Danio rerio: one gene and its partners. The protein of the gene in region 1 binds, or shares a complex with, the protein of each later gene. Links are inferred from orthologs where the notes say so. Each region holds a gene or a part of one and is shown on either strand. Other genes may lie near its edges.

Region 1 (6,308 bases):
AATGCACGCTATTGTTATGTTGTCTGCTACTTAAAGCTGTTAAAAGTCGTGTGGATTTTGATGGGCATATTTCTTTATCATTCATCAGCAGGTAAAAATTCATCTGTGCATTCTTTCAATGGTTTTGAATTTAAGGATGCACCGAAATTAAAATGATGGATGCACTTGGCTAAAAACTGAAAATACTTTGTTTATTATTTTATTTATTCGTAATATTTCTAAGACTTTTTAAAAGTAACTGAATAACTATAATAAAAGTCCCTTTAAGGCAAGCCATTTCACTCGGCGACCAACTTTAAAAGGTTTCTCGGGCATTCTGTTTGAATGGGAAAACATCAAATTCTCCAAAACTGCTTGCCAAGCTTACGATTACATTACATCGAAGGAATCATCAATTAAATTAAACAGCAACTGTCTCTTTAGTTTAATGTCCAAATGTTCAAATCACACAACATCTGCAAAAAACTCTGGTCCGAGCCCCTCCTCCAGAGAGTCGAAAAATGATTGGCTACTGTACTAGAAGGCGGGGCTTCATTTGCCGCTACAATTTTCTCCATTTAAAACTATACGAGTGACATGTCTTGTGTATTCTATAGTCTTTGATTATACTGATTAAAAAAACAAACCAATAAAACAACCACATTTTATAGACAGTATTATGTTATTAACTGTGACTATTTTTTATATTATTCTTTTAGAGCAGGGGTGCCCAAACTTGGTCCTGAAGGGCCGATTTACTGCATAGTTTAGCTCCAATTTGCTTTACCATACCTGCCTGGAAGTTTCTAGTATAGCTAGAAAGAGCTTGATTAGCTGAGTTTGATGTGTTTAATTAGGGTTGTAACTAAAATATGCAGCACACCAGCCTTCCAAGACCGAGTTTGGGCACCCCTGTTTTAGAAACATAATTTTATCATCATTAGATGACTGCACAGTAGAGCTATTGCAAGCAACAAATGCAAGCATGTTAAAAAGAAATGAACGTTGGTGGACTCTACGTGTAATTTGAATGGACTTTCCTATTCTGGTGAGCATGAATGATTTATGCATTGATATTCTTAAATCATTATTTTTGCTTTATGACCACACAAAATAGTCTCGTAGCTTGATAATATACTGATTGAATCACATAAGACAATGTGGTCTGTTTTTGAGGCTGTTTTTGGTTACTTTCTGGACTTGTGCGTAGAAAAACCATGAAACATGGAGGATAAGACAGCTCTCCAATTTCACCTAAAATATCTCAATTTGCGCCAAGATGGCACAGTGGGTAGCGCTGTTGCCTCACAGCTAAAAGGTCGCTGGTTTGAGCCGCAGCTGAGTCACTTGGCATTTATGTGTGGAGTTTGCATGTTCTCCACGTGTTTGTGTGAGTTTTCTCTGGGTGCTCCTTAGTCCAAAGATAGAGCTATTGGTGAATTGGATAAGCTGAATTGTCTGTATTGTATGTGTGTGAATGAGTGTGTATGGATGTTTCCCAGTCATGGGTTGCAGCTGGAAGGGCATCCGCTGCATAAAACATATGCTGGATAAGTTGGGGGTTCATTCCACTGTGGCGACCCCTGATTAATAAAGGGACTAAGCTAAAGAGAAAATGAATGAATATCTCAATTTGTATGACATGAGGGTGAGTAATTAATAAAGAATTAAAAATTTTGGGTGAACTAACCCTTTTGTGTCAAGTCAAGCTTTTCCACATATCTGCACTTTCTGTTTTCCAGCTCCAAAAGGACTGACAAGTAGTTTCCACCATCACAAAAGCCTACTTCTTTTCCTCCAGACACTGGGCTACACACCGAGAGAAGCGTTCACACACTCACTCTTTTCCACATGGATTGCCCTTTATCTGAAGCATCAGAGTCTTAATTCACATTTTGCTGACAGAGGCCAAATGAAAAGGCATGAGAAAAACATTTTCTCCTGTTCTTAGTACCAGTTTTGTGTTTGCGATACAGACAGTCCTCTTGGCATGATCCTACATTTGATACACACTGTGCAGAACAACCAACCACAAGACAAATTAATTCCTTTTCCATCACCTCACACGTCTTAACATCACAAAACATCCCACCCCGAGATTTTATAGGTGATTTCACAGCAGCACAAAAGAACACGCAGTGCTTCAAAAATTGATAGAGCTGTGGATTTTTGGTCTTGTGCACAACACTTCCATGCATTTCCTTCAAATTCATTCTGCAATAGTGGGATGCCACAACAAAAGCTTGCCCACCATGACTGCAGGTTGTCACTGACATCATCATATCATTGCATTTGGGTATTTTATAGCGGAGGAGACAGAAGGGTCACACAGCAGACAAAAAAAATCAGTGCACCATGTGATTAAAATGTGGACATTCAGAAGACAGTTCAATATCCTGCCAGTGCACAGAGAGCTTCTCACATCACTTTACCTTAAATTAAATTGTAATTGTCTTAAATAGTTGTTAACAAGCCTACAAGGCTGGAAGGTTGTGTTTAGTGCATCTTTTAGAAAACAGGGTTTCTGCAGGTTTCACCAAGTCAAACTTAAGATTTTTTAAGACCAGTATGAAGTAAATTTCAGATTTACATGGGGCTAAGCACTAGGGATTGTTTGTAATGGCATGGTGGGGCCAATGAAAAAGATTTGAACTTGCCTCATCGAACAAAATTTTAATTTAGTTATACCTTAATCACGTTTTATATTTGTCAAAACAAGCAAAATCTAGTTGAAATATTTACAAAACTATATTAAACAAAACGTATGCACAAGAGTGTGTCTAAAACACATAGAGAATTTTTACTATTGGTAAATAGAGGTAAATATTTAACTTTTTTTAACGTTTTATGTTTTAAAGATGAATTATTGGTTATTGGTAAGCCCGATCAGGTAACTTTACTAAGACATAGGAAAATTAAGACCCGTTTAAAATGATTAAAGACCACACAATTTACAACACGGCTTTCCAGTAAATTTAAGACCTTTTAAGGCCTTTAGTTTTTAAAATGCAAGACATTTAAGACCCCACAGACAACCCTGCAAATGCTCATTTTCCTGTGGTTTGAAAAAGTGTGTATGTTTTGAATAAGAGCTGATGTTTTTGATCTTATTTTTTTAACCTGCAAACTCATCAACATCCCTTTGTTGACTTAAACTCTTAAATTTAACTTCTGCATGTTTGTTGTTTAGATCAACTAATTTAAGCTAGATCGGAAGTAGGGCTGAGTATCGAAGGTGATATTTTTAAGCACTAACCAAACTGTCTCAATTCTAGTATCTATGAATGTCTTGTCTGACGGTACAAAGTATCGATACCTTAATGAATAAAATGACATAAGTGTTAGTGAATTGCATGTGTAGGATGGCAAATCTATGGAAAAAATAACTGAACTAAAATAAATAAACAGATGCTGGCAGCCTAGGTGAATTGTTTCTGCGAGAGGATACGATGTATACATAGAAACGAAAGTCCATTCATGCAAAAGCCCAGCACAGTTTCGAATTTAAAATATCATATCAAAAACTTTTAAATGGTACGCAGCCCTAACTTGACGTGAAATGTTGTGTCCAGTGTGTGATACCTGTGAAGCTGTTGTAGATGTTATTTAACCCTTAAAACATTATAGACTGTAAAAAATAGCCATGGATTCAATGGTAAAAAAACTGTAAAATGCTTCAGATGCTAAATATATGTGTCACACTTTAGTTTAAGGTTCAATTCTTGCTATTAACAAACCATTAACAAAGACTTTTAGCTCAATAAAATACTAATGTGCTGCTTATTAATAGTTAGTTAGGTACCTTAGGGTATTGATGTAGAATAAGAACATATTTTATAAGTACTATATAATAGCCAACATCCTAATCATAGGCAGGTAATACACCAGTCATTAATAGTGGGAATTGTTACTTAAATAAAAATATGTTACCAGAATAACAGTCAGTGTCCTTATGATGAATCACAAAAAATTTACTTTCCAAAATTCCTTTAGTGACACTTCAGTTTATCGTTTGGCATTTCTTTCTTCTTATTTGTTTTGTACATTAGAGTATGATACTGAATCTAATGTTATTAATAATATTTATTGCATTAATTAGTGTCATGTATTACCATGGTGGTGGAGTATTAACATTTTATAATTTAATGAAATACAGTAGTTTACTGTAAACATAGAATAGCTTTCCTGCTTATTTTGTAGCTAAAATTCTGCCAATCAAAGAGAATTTTAGTCATTTTTATTTAAAGGTGTACACTACTGACTGACAGAGGACCACCTGCCCCCTCTCTGGTATGACTTTGTCCATGATAGAGTCATCCTACTATTATTTAAATAGTGAAGTAAATGATTAACAGTAGATTTACAGCCTGTGTGTGAGTACAGCGATGTTTGTGTGGATAGTCCTTGCATCCTGCCACCACAGGTAAATTAAACATTGTGCTTCACTGCTACTTATCAATAATAAAAGCATATGTGCAGGCTCACCAGCAGGTCAGGATGCTGGCAGAGGTGAAGAGAATGATGGGAACCGGGTATGAGGCGCATAGCAGGCCGTGCCGGTAGAAGGCGGCCGAGATGTTCTGCCGAAGCCGCTCTCTCACCGTCATCCTGGGCGCGGGGGTCAGCTGATGGCCATCGAGTCTGCGTGTGCGGCCAGGGCGAGGGCACCGCCGGGCATCCAGGGATCTGTGCAAATATGTACACAACCCAAGTGTAAATAGAGCTGGAGAATTTCATTCATGGTGTGAAGAGATTTACCTGTTCTTCTGCTGACTGATAAAAAAAACTAAATCAAACACTTTTTTTAAGAGTATTTGATACACATTTAAAGTATTATGGACATTTTATCACTCTCATTCAGCCACAGGATATTATGGGAAATCTGTAACAAACCTGTCAAGTTTTTAATTTAACACTAGACAAGCATTAGTGCTTCTCAATAAAGTTCAATTTTTTAGCATTATATAATTATTTCAGAATCAAAAACTATTTTTTTTGCATTCGTTAACATATTAAGTTAACATTTAACTTAATAATATTTACAATGCTGCTTTGTTTTTAATATATTAACTTGAATGAATCATACATAATAAATACAAAAGAAAACGATGTGTTAGAGAGAGTTTTGACTCTATTGCCATATTATTATTTTATTATACCTCACATTTATATAGCGCTTTACACATTTTTGGGGGAATCTCCTTAACTACCACCACTGTGCAGCATCCACCTGGATCATGCAACAGCAGTTATATTGCGCCAGACAGCACACCAGACAACAGATTATTGGTTGACAGGAGACAGAGTGATGAAGCCAATTATGATATGGGGACGGTCAGGTGGCCAGTGGGAAATATGGCCAGGATGCCAGGGTTAAACCCCTACTCCTTTTTTTAAAAGACATCCTGGGATTTTTAACAACCTCGGTTTAACATCTCATCCGAAAGACGGTGCTCACTGACAGTATAGAGTCCCCATCGATATAGTGATGCGTTAGGACCCACACAGACTGCAGGTTGAGCGCCACTGCTGGTCTAACTAACACCACTTCTGGCAACAACCTAGCTTTCCCACGTGGTCTCCAGGTACTGACCAGGCTACTGACCTAGCTTCAGTGGGCGACCATGTGAGAGTTGCAGAGAGCTAGCTGCCGGCCAATATCCGCTTCTCTGGCTATTTCATGGCAAAATGTACATTTTATAAATATCACTTTTCTGCAATAAAACAAAAATTATAAAGACATCGACAGCAATAAATAATACAAAAGAAAATTAAATGTTTTTAAGGTTTACTTTAAATTCTACCATTTTTGAAGGATCCACATTTAAAAATATTTCCCTTAAAGTGTCTCCAGGTTAAAATCGTTGTCTGATTATAATAAAAATCCGCTTGTTAAGTCGTGATGTTTGAAATACTCTTTCCAGGTCCAAGCCGCTACTCATTTAAAAGGAGAAAATATTTGTTTATGACCACTTTTTAGTCACATCACACATTAAAGTGAATTTTATATAAAATCATGGTGTACACATCAGTCTCTGGACTTGCTGCATCACAGTCACCAATATTTTAACAATTTATAAATAATTAATCAATCACTTTCTGGCCATCGGATATTAGGTATGAATATATATATACTGCTCGATTATGGGAAAAATCATAATCACGATTATTTTGGTCATAATTGTAATCACGATTATTCAAAACGATTATCAGTTGAAGTCAAAAATATTCATCCTCCAGTGAATTTATTTTTATATATAAATATTTCCCAAATTATGTTTAACAGAGGGATTTCTTTACAGTATTTCCTATAATATTTTTTTCTCCTG
Region 2 (6,973 bases), on another chromosome or scaffold:
GTCAGTGTTTCAGACATGATGATGGTGATGATGATGATGATGATGGTGTTCTTCATCTTCCTCACGTGTGTGTTTCTCTCTCAGATATTTCCAGCTTCAGTTTGATCTGGCGGAGGCGTCTGGATTACCCATGTTCCTCCACTGCAGGAACGCTCACACAGAGTTCATCGGTACTGAAGCTCATGCAGAAGAGTGTGTCACGATGAGTGTGGTAATAAACTCACCGTGTGTGTGTGTGTGTGTGTGTGTGTGTGTGTGTGTGTGTGTGTGTGTGTGTGTGTGTGTGTGTGTGTGTGTGTGTGTCACAGACATCATGAGGAGGAACAGACAGCGGTGTGTTGGTGGAGTGGTGAGTGATGTGTTCCTCATTCTCAGTGCTTCATTATTCCTCTGTGTTTTCGCTGTTCCTCTGTTGTTTCCTCAATGTTCTTATTGTTTTTTAGTGAATCCTAATTTCTTTCATCCTAAAGGTTTTCTTGTGTTTCCTGGGTGTTTCCTTGTTATTTCCCCATACTGTTTTCCAGATTTTGCTCATTATTTTTTTCATTTTCTCCATGCTCCATCATTTGTTTCAGTGTTTCCTCAAGTTTTCCTGATTGTTTCCTCCTTATTTCCTCAATGTTTCCTCAATATTTCCTCATTATTTCTTCATTGTTTCCTCAGTGTTTCCTGATTGTTTCCTCCTTGTTTCCTCAGTGTTTCCTCAATGTTTTCTCAACGTTTCTTAAGTGTTTTCTTAATGTTTTCTTAATGTTTCCTCAATGACTTTCCAATGTTTCTTCATTGTTTCCTCATTGTTTCCTGATTATTTCATCCTTATCTTTTTATTGTTTCCTCAATATTTCCTCGTTGTTTCCTCCTTATTTCTTCATTGATTCCTCAGTGATTCCTCAGTGTTTTCTCAGTGTTTCCTCAATATTTCCTCTTTCGTTCCTCGTCGTTTCCTCTTTATTTCTTCAGTGTTTCCTCAATGTTTCCTCCAGTGTTTCTTGATTGTTTCCTCAGTATTTCCTCAGTGTTTTCTTGTTGTTTCCCCTGTATTTTTATTTTTTCCTTGTTGTTTCTTCACTGTTTTCTCAGTGTTTCCTTGCAGTTTCCTCAGTATGATCTCTTGTTTTTCTCTGTTTCCTTGCTGCTTCCTTACTATTTCCTCAGTATTCTCCTTAGTGTTTACTTATTGCTTCCTCATTGTTTCCTCTGTGATTTCCCAGTGTTTCCTTGTTGTTTCCTCAGTTGTCTTCAAGTTTTCCTGTTGTTTTCTAATTGTTTCCTCAGTGTTTGCCTATTGTTTGTTCAGTTTTTCCTCAGTGTTTCCACAGTATTTCCTCTAGTTTTCCTCAGTGTTTCCTTGGTATTTCCTCAGTGTTTGCTCAATGTTTTCTCAGTGATTTCCCAGTGTTTCCTCTTGTGTTTCAGGTGCACTCGTTCGACGGCTCTCAGCAGGACGCGGCGGCTCTTCTTGATCTGGATCTCTACATTGGTATTAACGGCTGGTGAGTGCAGCGTCTCTGAAGGATCTTCATCTCCGGGTTTGTTCATCACTGGCGGGTTTTCCTCCTGTGTTTCAGCTCCTTAAAGACAGCAGAGAATCTGGAGGTGATGAAGTCCATCCCGTCTGACAGACTGATGATCGAAACAGGTGCAGAGGCTCTCATTATTCGTTTATCTGCATCATTCCATGTGATATTCCAATATGTGCATAACATAAGTGTCTGGAGGCAGAGTGAGTGAGTGAGTGTGTGTGTGTGTGTGTTGATTTCCTCTGCAGACGCTCCGTGGTGCGGCATTAAAAACACTCACGCTGGAGCCAAACTGATCAAGACCAGCTTCCCCACCAAGAAGAAGTGGGAGACGGGACACTGTGTGAAGGACAGGAACGAGCCCTGCCACATCATGTGTGTGAGAGACAGAGAGTGTGTGTGTGTGTGTGTGTCCTGCTGAAGACTGTGTGTTTGTATGAGCAAGAATCCTGCTGAAGTGTTTGTGTTCATGCATGTTTAGCTGCACACTCAAATGCTTGTGTGTGTGCGTGTGCGTGTGCGTGTGTGTGTGTGTGTGTGTGTGTTTCAGACAGGTGCTGGAGGTGATGGCCGCTGTCAGGGAGGAGGATCCACTGGATCTCGCTGAAACCATCTTCAACAACACCGACACACTGTTCTTCAAGAACCGCTCATGAGGAAACACTGGCTGTGTATCACACACACACACACACACACCAATAGACATATCTTCAGTAGGACTCTCCCATAACCCCACACACACACACACTCAATAAAAGAAAATATGACAACACACACATGTTCTGTCGTGGCTTATTATCATCATACACCCAAACTATGATGTGTTTATTAACAGAAAAGAAGATGAAGTATAAATAAAACTGAAATATTACATTCATTTGAAGTATTAATATTACTAATTGTAATTAATAAATGCATAACTAAAATTGAAGATAAAGGCACATATATTCTTCAAATAAAATAATGTAAATCGTATTAATATGAAAATAAAAACACATGCAATTTAAAGATGAAATATTCTATTAATGACACTGCACTACAGGCTATGTAGGCCCACTGCTTTATTATTAAACCAGTTAGTTAATATTCATGAGTTGCTCATTAACATAACTGGAACGGTCACGTTTAAAATAAAACATTACAGAAGAACAGATGATTCTACACTACAGAAGTTTGTATTAGGGTTATTAAGAGCATGAGGATTCATACGCAGCTATACTTTATATTAAAGCATTGTATTTTAAACTGAATTATATTAATTAAACACGTATGGAATAAAAGAAGTTTCTTGAATTGAAATATTTTAAAATAGTTTTTTGTCATTGTACAAACAATAATTACAAACACAAAGCACAATTTATCTGAACTACAAACTGAGACATTTTAACTCTTAAAGAAGCTTTGAATAATACTAAAGCCGGGCGCCGGTGCTGTAGTGTAGTATTCTGTAGTCTGCGCATGCGCTCTGCCACTTCCGCGTTCCTCACATAGCAACAGCAGCAGAGCCAAAATGGCGACCGGTGGAGATCCTGCCTGACATCGAACCGAGTCCTGACACCGAGAGCCGCGGTTCCCGGACACCGGCATCAGCGCCATGGCCTCCGCTCACGGGCGGCTGGGTCAGCACTTCCTTGCCGTGCTGGATGTGGTTCTGCGGGTCCCGAGCATCTTTATAATCGACGCCATATTGAACTCGTACTCTGATCCCGGTACCGGATGGAGCGGCGCCGCCGGGAGAGCCCTGATCCGCGCGCTGGGTGAGTGCGGGATTCCATACCGGTGTTAAATCTGCTCTTTTAGGCTTTCTGCTTATCAGCTTATAGCGCTGAAAACACCGGGCCTCAAAACACCACCGACTGACGGACTGACTGACAGCTCGAGCCGCGCGCGTGTTGAGGAAACGGAAACCTGACAGATTCATGCACTGCTGTAGAGCTGACCCTCCACTACACACACACACTCACAATTATATATACTATACACAACATATCAACAATGACACTGCTCATTCAGACAACACATACACAACATCCAAACTACATATCACAACTCAACACACACAGATGACCAGACATACACAGCATATAGACAACATAACAACACTGACACTGCTCAACACACTAACATACACAGATGACGAGAGGTGTACTAAAACATTCAGACAACATATAGACAACATATCAACACTATCAGAGCTCAACACACTAATACACAAAGACGAGAGATGATCTGAAATGTTCAGACAACTAGAGATGTACCGATTCCCCCGACTCACGATTCATAATACAATTTATTTACAAGATAATCTAAAGTAAATTTAAGGTGACGCGTCCTTCATTCTGTTCTTAAACGCAGACATTTTTTGCAAAACGATATATTTTCTGGCATAACTAAATTGCTATTAAAAACAGAATAATATAAACTACTGAAGACTAATAAACTACTAACCCTAATGCAAATACACCAGCTCACACAGTAGCTGATTGCTGACTAATTTCATTGGCTGACGCTGCTATGACGATCGCGTCAGACACTTCAGACACGCCCTCTGTCAAGGGTTGATGCTGAAGCCCATGTGAATCGAGCATATATGGTGCAGATTATGGATGCTGAATGATGTATTGTGCAGCTCTACTGTATCCGTGCTGATTCTCAGTGTTCTGCTGTCTGTCCTGCAGGTATTGTGGTGTCCGGTGTGGTTCTGGTGCTTTCCCAGAAGTCCCTGTTCAAGTTCTACACGCTCTTCATGGCTGTTCTGCTGGGCGCGGCGTCAGTGCTGGTCAACTACTACGCCACGGCACACGCCGACTTCTACAGCGCATACAACAGTGCTGCAGTGCTGCCGCGGGACGGGCCGACGCTCTGGCTAGCGTTAGCGCTGATGCAGCTGCTGCTGGGGTTGGGCTATGTGGCGCTGCTGCGCGTGCGGTCGGTGTGCGCTGCTCTCCTGCTGCTGGACATCATGGCGCCGCTGTGGGGGCTGATACTGGAGCTGCCGGCCGACATGAAGCAGGTGCTAGCGATAGCATCAGGAGTGATCTTAGCAACACACGCCGCGCTAAACCTGCTGCTGAAGCTGAAGTGGTTCTACTACTCCTGCCGCTACGTCTACCTGCTGCTGCGCCACATGTACCGCATCTACGGCCTGCAGCTGCTGCTGGAGGACACCTGGAAGCGCATCCGCTTCCCTGACATCCTGCGCGTGTTCTGGCTAACCCGCGTGACCGCGCAGGCCGTCATCCTGCTGTACGTGGTGCGCGTGGTGCGCTCTGAAAGCGGCATGCAGCTCGGATGGGACGTGTTGTGGGATTTGTCCAGTAATCTGATCATTAGCGGCTGCGACTCGACGCTAACTGTCCTCGGGATGAGCGCAGTCATATCATCTCTAGCGCATTACTTGGGTCTTAGCATCCTAGCGTTCATCGGCTCCACAGAGGAGGAGGATAAGCGGCTGGGGTTTGTTGCGCCCGTGCTGTTCTTCATCCTGGCGCTGCAGACGGGTCTAAGCGGCCTGGACCCCGAGGAGCGGCTGGTGCGGCTCAGCAGGAACATGTGCCTTCTGCTAACGGCGATTCTGCATTTCATCCACGGGATGACGGATCCGGTGCTCATGTCTCTCAGCGCGTCGCACGTGTCGTCAGTGCGCAGACATGTGCCGGTTCTGCTCGTGTCGCTAGTTCTGTTTACGCTGCCGGTCCTGCTCAGTTTCCTGCTGTGGCATCATTACGCGCTCAACACGTGGCTGTTCGCCGTCACGGCGTTCTGCATCGAGCTGTGTCTGAAGGTTCTGGTGTCGCTCACGGTATACGCGCTGTTCATGATGGACGGGTTCTACAATGTGCTGTGGGAGAAGCTGGACGATTACGTCTACTACGTGCGCTCTACTGGCAACGTGATTGAGTTCATATTCGGCGTGATCATGTTCGGAAACGGGGCGTACACGATGATGTTTGAGTCGGGGAGTAAGATCCGCGCGTGCATGATGTGCCTTCATGCGTATTTTAACATTTACCTGCAAGCCAAAAACGGCTGGAAAACGTTCATTAACCGGCGCACGGCTGTCAAGAAGATCAACTCTCTGCCGGAGGTGCGAGGCTCGCGGCTGCGGGACATCGAGGACGTCTGCGCCATCTGCTATCAGGAGTTCGGCTCGTCGGCGCGCATCACGCCCTGCAGCCATTACTTCCACGCGCTCTGCCTGCGCAAGTGGCTGTACATCCAGGACACGTGCCCCATGTGCCACCAGCGCGTCTACATCGAGGACGACACCAGCGAGCGCTCCACCTTCTCTAATAATAACGGATACGGGGCAGCAGGACAGGAGAGGGCGGAGTTTGAGGAGAATGAGGGTGGAGCTGAGGACGGCGTGGCTGCGGCAGGGGCGGAGCCTGAGAACGAGCTGCTGGAGGATAATGACAGTATTGAGTATGACGAGGAGGAGTGGGGAACGCAGCCCGGCGTCACGCTCATCGAGGAGGACTACATTAATGACGACACAGACTCCAACTGAACCAGCGGGGATATTTAAGATCAGGGACGTTGTGTATTTTTTAGATCTGTGGCCAGAAATTGTTCGAGAAATCCATTCTGCATTGATCCTGAGATTTTTGAATTGCGTCGCTTTTTTCGCTTGAATTAATTCTGAGCCTAGTTTACAACAGTAGATGGCGCTCTAGGCTAGTTTACAGCAGCAGATGGCACTCTAGGCTATTTTATAAAAGCAGATGGTGCTCTAGGCTGTTTTAAAACAGCAGATGGTGCTCTAGGCTGTTTTAAAACAGCAGATGGCGCTCTAGGCTGTTTTAAAACAGCAGATGGCGCTTTAGGCTAGTTTACAACAGTAGATGGTGCACTAGGCTATTTTATAAAAGCAGATGGTGCTCTAGGCTGTTTTAAAACAGCAGATGGCGCTGTAGGCTGTTTTAAAACAGCAGATGGCGCTCTAGGCTGTTTTAAAACAGCAGATGGCGCTCTAGGCTAGTTTACAACTGCAGATGGTGCTCTAGGCTAGTTTACAACAGCAGATGGTGCTCTAGGCTAGTTTACAACAGCAGATGGTGCTCTAGGCTAGTTTTAATAGAGCAGATGGAGCTCTAGGCTGTTTTAAAACAGCAGATGGCGCTCTAAGCTAGTTTACAACTGCAGATGCCGCTCTAGGCTAGTTTACAACAGCAGATGGTGCTCTAGGCTAGTTTTAATAGAGCAGATGGAGCTCTAGGCTAGTTTTGAACATCAGCAGGGTGCTGTCTGCAGTAAAAAACGAGCCTAGAGCATGTGTTACTTTTAAAAAAAACTAGCCTAGAGCGCGATCTGCTTTATTAATACTAGCTTTGAGTGCCATCTGCTGTTAAACACTAGCCTACAACAGCATTAGCTGGTGTAATATAGCCTAAAACACCATAGAGCAGATGTTGCTCTAGGCTAGTTTCTAACAGCAGATGGTGCTCTAGGCT
Region 3 (6,990 bases), on another chromosome or scaffold:
AAACCGAAAGTGTCATGCTAAAATAATCTGAGTTTAACAGCAACATTTACGTTACTATACTTTTACGTTAATGACAAAAACAAACAAACCGTGTAAAAGTAACGTGCGCGTGTAACGTTAAAGAATGAGTGTTTGTTAAACTCGGAACAAAACAAGCGTCATGCTAAAATAATCTACGCTAAACAACATTTATTATAAATTCAATTATATTATATAATGACACAAACAAACAACAATCCCTCACCGCTAACGGTCGTTGGAAATTCGTTGATCTTAACCTCTGATGTTTGGAAGTAAGCCAACTGACCTGCACAGCAGCGCTCGTTTATCACGCCATGAAGTGTTTGGAGAAGTTAACTAGCGAGTCAAGACTAGAAGTAAACAAACAGCATGTCAGGAGGACTATCCTCGCGCTTACTGAGGTAAAGCTGGCTTTATAGTCGCACATTCGGTCAGTGACAGCTCATGACACGGTCCATATAAGGTTTACCACAATATTCAATCTGCATGACTTCAAGACAGCATTAGCACTATTTAATTAACTGTGAGAAATGTTGTACTTTCTGACTTTTCTTACTAATACGATTTCACAATGTAAAATGTGCAAAATCAGTATATTACGGAGGAAGTCTGAATGTGCGAATATAAGATTAACTTTACCTCAATCGCGCGCTTTACCTGGACAGACCCTGCAGCTTCTCCCTCAAGGCGCGCACACAGTACACACACGCACGCAAACACACACTCGCTCCCTCACTCGAACATACACACCTTCCCGCGTCTGAGCACCGAGTTTGACTTTTTATTCTGCGGTTTTCTGATGAATTCGCGCTCCAGCATCCTCCGCACGCAGCTAATCAGCTAGCATTAGCATCCCGGGCCGTGAGAATAGCTCATTCTGGAGAAAAGCGGCTCCCGGTGGGCTCTGCGGGGCGCGGCGCGCTTACCTGGGGGTGGGAGAGTCCTCGGAGGGGCCGCTGGAGGATCAGCGTATGCTCCGGGCGAGGTTTGATGTCTGCGGGTGAGTTTTGCCGGCTGTGATGATGGAGATTCTGCGCTCGAGTCCCACGAGCTTCCGATGATGGCGGGAATGTGAAAATTTAGAGCGGAAATGGGAGGTGAGATGATGTGCTGTGACACAAGTAACGCGAGACTACACGACTGTGTTTTCTTTGGCTGTTGCTAGAAGAGATACAGCTGCGGCAGGAAGTTAACGATAATTATTTATATTTTTTATGTAGCAGTCTCTCATCAATATAGCAATAAAGAGATAGATCAATCGTATGGACGACGAAACCTGCAAAAACAATACAAAAATAAATAAATATAGAAATATATAAATAAATGAGTAAATAAATCCATAAATTCCTGCATAAATGAAATAATAAATGTGCAAATAAATTAATAAATGGATATAAAAATCCACAAACTCCTGCATAAATCAATATATAACTAATTAATAATGTGGGCAGGTAAATAATTAAATAAATTACACGAATATTGGGGAAACAAGAAAATGCTAAACTGAAAATTTATTGTCTGCCCTTTCAAACTTTTGTTTTGAAAAAATAAAACTCTCAGTTTAGCATTTTCTTATTCCCCTTGTAATTTATTTAATTTTTTACCTTCCTGGACTATTAATTATTTATGTATTTATTTATGCAGGAAATTGTGGATTTGTTTATATCAGGTTATTTATTTGCGTATTTATTTATTGTTTTATTTACGCAGGAATTTGTAGATTTATATTCATTTATTTATTTATTTGTTTATTTATTTGCATATGTACTTATTTATTGTTTGATTTATGCGGGAATTTGTGTTTTTATTTTATTGTTTATTTGTGTATTTATTTATTTATTGTTTTATGTATGCAATAATTTGTGTATTTATTTATTTATTTGTTTATTTATTTATTTGCATATTTAGTTATTTTTTATTTTTTGCCGGAATTTGTAAATTTAATGTACATTTATTTGTTTATTTGCATATTTATTGTTTTATTTAGGCAGGAATTTGTGTATTTATTTATTTGTTTATTTATTTATTTGCGTATTTATTTATTGTTTTATTTGTGCAGTAATTTGTAGATTTATATTCATTTATTTGTTTATTTTCATATTATTTTATTTATTGTTTTATTTATTTATTATGTTATTTATGCAGTAATTTATTGATATATTTACTCATTTCTTTATATATTTGCATATTTATTTATTCATTGTTTTTGCAGGTTTTGTCCTATTTTGTCCAGGTTTTATACTATTTCTGAAACAAATAGGCCCCCTATTGATATTAGACAATTGTAAGTCGAATGCCATTTTGTATTCAAAACCTATATATATATATATATATATATATATATATATATATATATATATATATATAGGTTTTGAATGGGCCTATTTGTTTCAGAAATAGTATACAACTAGAAGAAATCAACAATATAAACAAATACAGAAAGAGGATTTGTATTTCTATAATAATACCATCAATCTTAAGTATAAATCACAGACTGTAAAAACAGTTTCAGGGAAGTGAAACACTATTAAATTGTCATTTTCACATAATTTTTAACAAATTCCAGCTTTTTCTGGCATTATTGAATATATATTCAGTGATTCCTACAAGCTTTAAACACTTATAATTGTGAATAAAAGTATTTGCTTGCAGAAGTACATTATTGATCAGAAAAACCTTCTTTAATACTAATAAAGGACCGCTTAAATCAGTCACATTTTGTTAATTTAACCATAATAGTAAGTGCAAGTAAAAAAAATGTGTTCAGTATTTTGAGGAATAAAAATTTAGCGCTTCATTTTAGCGCTTAATCATTGCGTCACCACCGCGTGCTCTGATTGGCTGCGCTAGTATCAGCAGGGCGGAAGTGCAGTATTATCCACGCAAGAAGATCTCCGTCCGTTCGCTGAGGACTTTAATATTTCATTTCAGAGAAGCCGGAGCTGCTTTCAAACGACGCAGAGGTGAGAGATGTGTGTATTCTTAACGAACCACCTGTTTCATTTAGCGTTTATAAGGCATTTTATCTCAGCTTCATGAATGTTTTACCTCTCAGGGGGTCGGAAGCTACTGTTGTCGCGCTACACCGCTGTGTATGTTATATAGGGATAATAATTAGCTTCGACCGCTAGTGTTGTGTCAGTGTGCTGTGTGTTACTGTCTGCCTGTGTTTATTTTACTGTTATTTACGCTGATCGGCCTGATGCTGATGTGGCCTTTGAGCTGCTCGACCAGATAGACTTATTTATTTAACTAACAACTGACCTGCAGTAACCTGTCAGGCGTGTGTGTGTGTGTGTGTGTGTGTGTGTGTGTGTGTGTGTGTGTGTGTGTGTGTGTGTGCTTTATCTAAAGTGATCTGCTGCTGTTATGTTATATGTTTTTAATTAAAGGGGACCTATAATGTCATTTTTTACAAGCTGTAAATGTGTCTAGAGTGTGTGTGTTTGAGCTGAGAATAACACACAGGTAATGTTCTCCAGCTCTCTGAAACTGACCCTTTCAGGCCTTAATCCTAATTGGGGCGTTTTGGTGACTGTCGCTTTAAATGCAAATGAGATTGTGCTCTTTTCAGAAGAGGGCGGAGCTACCAACACCTGCGTGTCAGCATAGTGACGGATGTAAAACAGCAGTGTGTGTGTTGTGAGTGCTGGTCAGGTGTGAGTGTGTGTTGATGCTTCTGTCAGTCTATGTCGCTGCTGTCGCTGTTCATCTAAAGCTCCACATCTATAATCCTCTTAGTCTATGCTGACGTTATCTTCAGCAGCTCAAACACTCTAATGGCTAATGGACAGACGGCTGCTTCTCACTCAGGGCTGCTGTTTATGCTAATGAGATGGAGAGATGGACACTAGTAGGCGTACTGAATAAAGTGGTATGGTACGGTTCGCTTTTAGGTACCTTTTGACAGCAGAATCGATCATAAAAGCGCACCGAACCGCACCACTCGGTGGAAACGGGCCTCTTGCGAGCCCTGATGTGAACTGTGGAGAAGTGTGGTGAGCTGGTCCTCCTTCTGTCCTGTAGGCATGTGAGGAGATGTCGGAGGTTTCGTCAGTGTCGCGCCGCGGGCCGTACGTCAGCATGATCACCAGCCGCAGTGTGAACCTGCTGATCCGCGCCGCCATGCTCTTCACGGTGGGAGTGTTTCTGGCGCTGGTGCTGAACCTGCTGCAGGTGCAGAGGAACGTCACGCTCTTCCCTCCAGACGTCATCAGCAGCATCTTCTCCTCCGCCTGGTGGGTTCCTCCCTGCTGCGGGACGGCTGCAGGTACTGCTGCTTACACTGCTCACCGGAGAGTAGACTGTGTGCTTTTTTTGTGTGTGTGCGTGTTTGTTTGTGTCTTTGTGTGTGTTTTTTTTTTTTGTGTGTGTTTGAGCATGTAATTGTTATGTATGTATTTATGTGTGTGTGTTTGTTTGTTTGTTTGTTTGTGTGTTTTTGTTTATGTGTGTGTGTGCTTTTTTTGTTTGTGTGTATTTATTTGTCTGTGAGTGTGTTTGGGTGTGTGTTTTTGTTTGTTTGTTTGTATGTTTGTTTATGTTTTTGTTTTTTGTGAGTGTTTGTTTTTTGTTTGTGTGTTTTTTTGTTTGTGTGTGTGTGTGTGTGTTGTTCGTTTGTTTGTTTGTTTGTTTGAGCGTGTAATTGTGTGTGATTGTGAGTGTGATTGAGTGTGTGTGTTTGTTTGTGTGAGTTTTTTTGTGTGCCTGTGTGTTTGTACGTGTAATTGTGTCTGTGTGTGTTTTTGTTTGTGAGTGTGTGTGTGTTTGTGTGTTTGTTTGAGTGTGTAATTGTGTGTGTTTGTGTGTATGTGGTTTTGTTTGTGTTTGAGTGTGTGTGTTTTTGTTTGTGTATGTGCTTTTTTGTTTGTGTGTGTTTGTTTGTGTGAGTGTTTTTTGTGTGCGTGTGTGTTTGTTTGAGAGTGTAATTGTGTGTGTTTGTGTGTAAGTGTTTGAGTGTGTGCTTTTGTTTGTGTGTATGTGCTTTTTTGTTTGAGTGTGTGTGTGTGTGTGTGTGTGTGTTTGTGTGTGAGTGTGTTTGAGTGTATATGTTTTTGTTTGTTTGTGTGTGTTTTTGTTTATGTGTATTTGTATATTAGTGTGTTTCGGTGTGTGTGTAATTGTGTCTGTCTGTGTGTGTGTGTGTGTGTTTGTGTGTGTGTGTGTGTAATTGTGTCTTTGTGTGTGTTTGTTTGTGTGATTGTTTTTTTGTGTGTGTTTGTGTGTGTAATTGTGTCTGTGTGTGTTTTTGTTTGTGTGTGTGTGTGTTTGTTTGAGCGTGTAATTGTGTGTGTTTGTGTGTAAGTGTGTTTGAGTGTATATGTTTTTGTTTGTTTGTGTGTGTTTTTGTTTATGTGTATTTGTATATTAGTGTGTTTCGGTGTGTGTGTAATTGTGTGTGTGTGTGTGTGTGTGTGTGTGTAATTGTGTCTATATGTGTTTTTGTTTGTGTGTGTGTGTGTGTGTGTGTGTGTGTGTTTGTGTCTGTAATTGTGTCTATATGTGTTTTTGTTTGTGTGTGTTTGTTTGTGTGATTGTTTTTTTGTGTGTGTTTGTGTGTGTAATTGTGTCTGTGTGTGTTTTTGTTTGTGTGTGTGTGTGTTTGTTTGAGCGTGTGTTTGTGTGTAAGTGTGTTTGAGTGTGTGCTTTTGTTTGTGTGTATGTGCTTTTTTGTTTGAGTGTGTGTGTGTGTTTATGTATGTGGTTTTGTTTGTGTGTGAGTGTGTTTGAGTGTGTATGTTTTTGTTTGTTTGTGTGTGTTTTTGTTTATGTGTATTTGTATATTAGTGTGTTTCGGTGTGTGTGTAATTGTGTGTGTGTGTGTGTGTGTGTGTGTAATTGTGTCTATATGTGTTTTTGTTTGTGTGTGTGTGTTTGTGTGTGTAATTGTGTCTGTATGTGTTTTTGTTTGGGTGTGTGTGTGTGTGTGTGTTTGTGTCACTGAGCTCCTCCTCTTTTCTTCTCTTCTCCAGCGCTGATTGGTCTGCTGTACCCCTGTATGGACCGGCGTCTCGGGGAGCCTCATAAGCTGAAGAGGGAGTGGTCCAATGTGATGCGCTGCGTTGCCGTATTCGTGGGCATCAACCACGCCAGTGCTGTATCCTGATCCACTGCTGAAGCGCAGAGTTTACTCACTAAAGCTGATCCCAGCATAAATGAAGAGTTGACTCTTCTGAGTATTGATAGTGGACCACCCCTTTAAGCATTTTATTATGCAATATTGCAAACTGATTATGCGTGATTAGTGTGCTGATGGGTGAAGTGCTGATGGATTGTTAGCTTGCTGATGGGTGAAGTGTTGTCTTTAACTCCGCCATCAACAGAAGGTGGACTTTGCCAATAATGTGCAGCTGTCCCTGACGCTAGCGGCTCTGTCTGTGGGCCTGTGGTGGACGTTTGACCGCTCGCGCAGTGGTTTTGGACTGGGAGTGATCATCGCCATCCTCGCCACGCTCGCCACACAGCTGCTGGTCTACAACGGAGTCTTTCAGTGAGTCTCTGTCACACTTCAGCTAATGAGAGCTACTGATGAGGGTCACATGAAATAAAATAACGTGTTTTAGATGTTAGCATCAGTAGTTTTAAGGAAATCTATGAGCTAGTGTCTCAAACTCACATGTAGAAGATATAAACCTGATATAAACATGTAAAATTTGCAGTTTGTCACTCCCACCTAAAGGAATCAACGAATTTTTTGTCGTGTGCTCATACCTCAGTTTCTCATCAAATCCTCAGACCATGATTAAAATCTTTCTGACATGCCCCGCCCCCTTCTTCTAATTGGCTGTTCATTTGTTGCGTTTGAGCTCAGCCACTCTCACTGGCGGAGCTCTTATAAAAGCAACACGCTATTGGCTGCTTTTTTTGAAAGGGGAGGAGCTACACTATGCACATTTCAAAGCACTTCATGGGACTTTTAACCCTTTGATGCACTACATAGATCTAAAGCAGTGGTGCTCAGCCCTGTTG

The links.
Region 2: scap (region 1) and rnf139 share a complex: the UniProt entries of both Homo sapiens proteins name them as parts of the SCAP-SREBP complex. The link is inferred for Danio rerio from reciprocal best matches to the Homo sapiens genes SCAP and RNF139.
Region 3: the proteins of scap (region 1) and insig2 are in contact, whole or in part, in a cryo-EM structure (PDB 7ETW), measured with the Homo sapiens proteins. The link is inferred for Danio rerio from reciprocal best matches to the Homo sapiens genes SCAP and INSIG2. Residues at the interface, in NP_036367.2 of Homo sapiens: Pro200, Ser206, Val282, Ala283, Glu284, Ile286, Pro287, Thr290, Ile294, Ala297, Tyr298, Phe301, Lys305, Tyr351, Val354, Val355, Glu359, Thr409, Leu410, Val411, Ser638, Tyr639; in NP_001308258.1 of Homo sapiens: Phe41, Val45, Leu48, Leu49, Ile51, Val55, Leu57, Phe58, Pro59, Val62, Ser65, Ile66, Glu104, Trp105, Ser106, Met109, Arg110, Val112, Ala113, Val114, Val116, Gly117, His120, Gln132.

Annotation. Positions count from the first base shown.
Region 1 is NC_133191.1:45,484,349-45,490,656, reverse strand, and holds part of scap (sterol regulatory element-binding protein cleavage-activating protein), read right to left. Parts: intron 4,666-6,308; coding exon 4,465-4,665; intron 1-4,464. UniProt on the Homo sapiens protein: Escort protein required for cholesterol as well as lipid homeostasis.
Region 2 is NC_133194.1:330,611-337,583, forward strand, and holds the start of rnf139 (E3 ubiquitin-protein ligase RNF139), read left to right. Parts: upstream 1-3,034; 5' UTR 3,035-3,114; coding exon 3,115-3,277; intron 3,278-4,198; coding exon 4,199-6,030; 3' UTR 6,031-6,165; exon of another isoform or gene 6,166-6,973. Other genes in the region: deoxyribonuclease TATDN1, read left to right, coding at 85-170, 309-349, 1,417-1,493, 1,569-1,639, 1,769-1,895, 2,071-2,176. UniProt on the Homo sapiens protein: E3-ubiquitin ligase; acts as a negative regulator of cell proliferation through mechanisms involving G2/M arrest and cell death.
Region 3 is NC_133184.1:726,480-733,469, forward strand, and holds the start of insig2 (insulin-induced gene 2 protein), read left to right. Parts: upstream 1-2,917; 5' UTR 2,918-2,984; intron 2,985-4,047; 5' UTR 4,048-4,059; coding exon 4,060-4,291; intron 4,292-5,993; coding exon 5,994-6,118; intron 6,119-6,344; coding exon 6,345-6,511; intron 6,512-6,990. UniProt on the Homo sapiens protein: Oxysterol-binding protein that mediates feedback control of cholesterol synthesis by controlling both endoplasmic reticulum to Golgi transport of SCAP and degradation of HMGCR.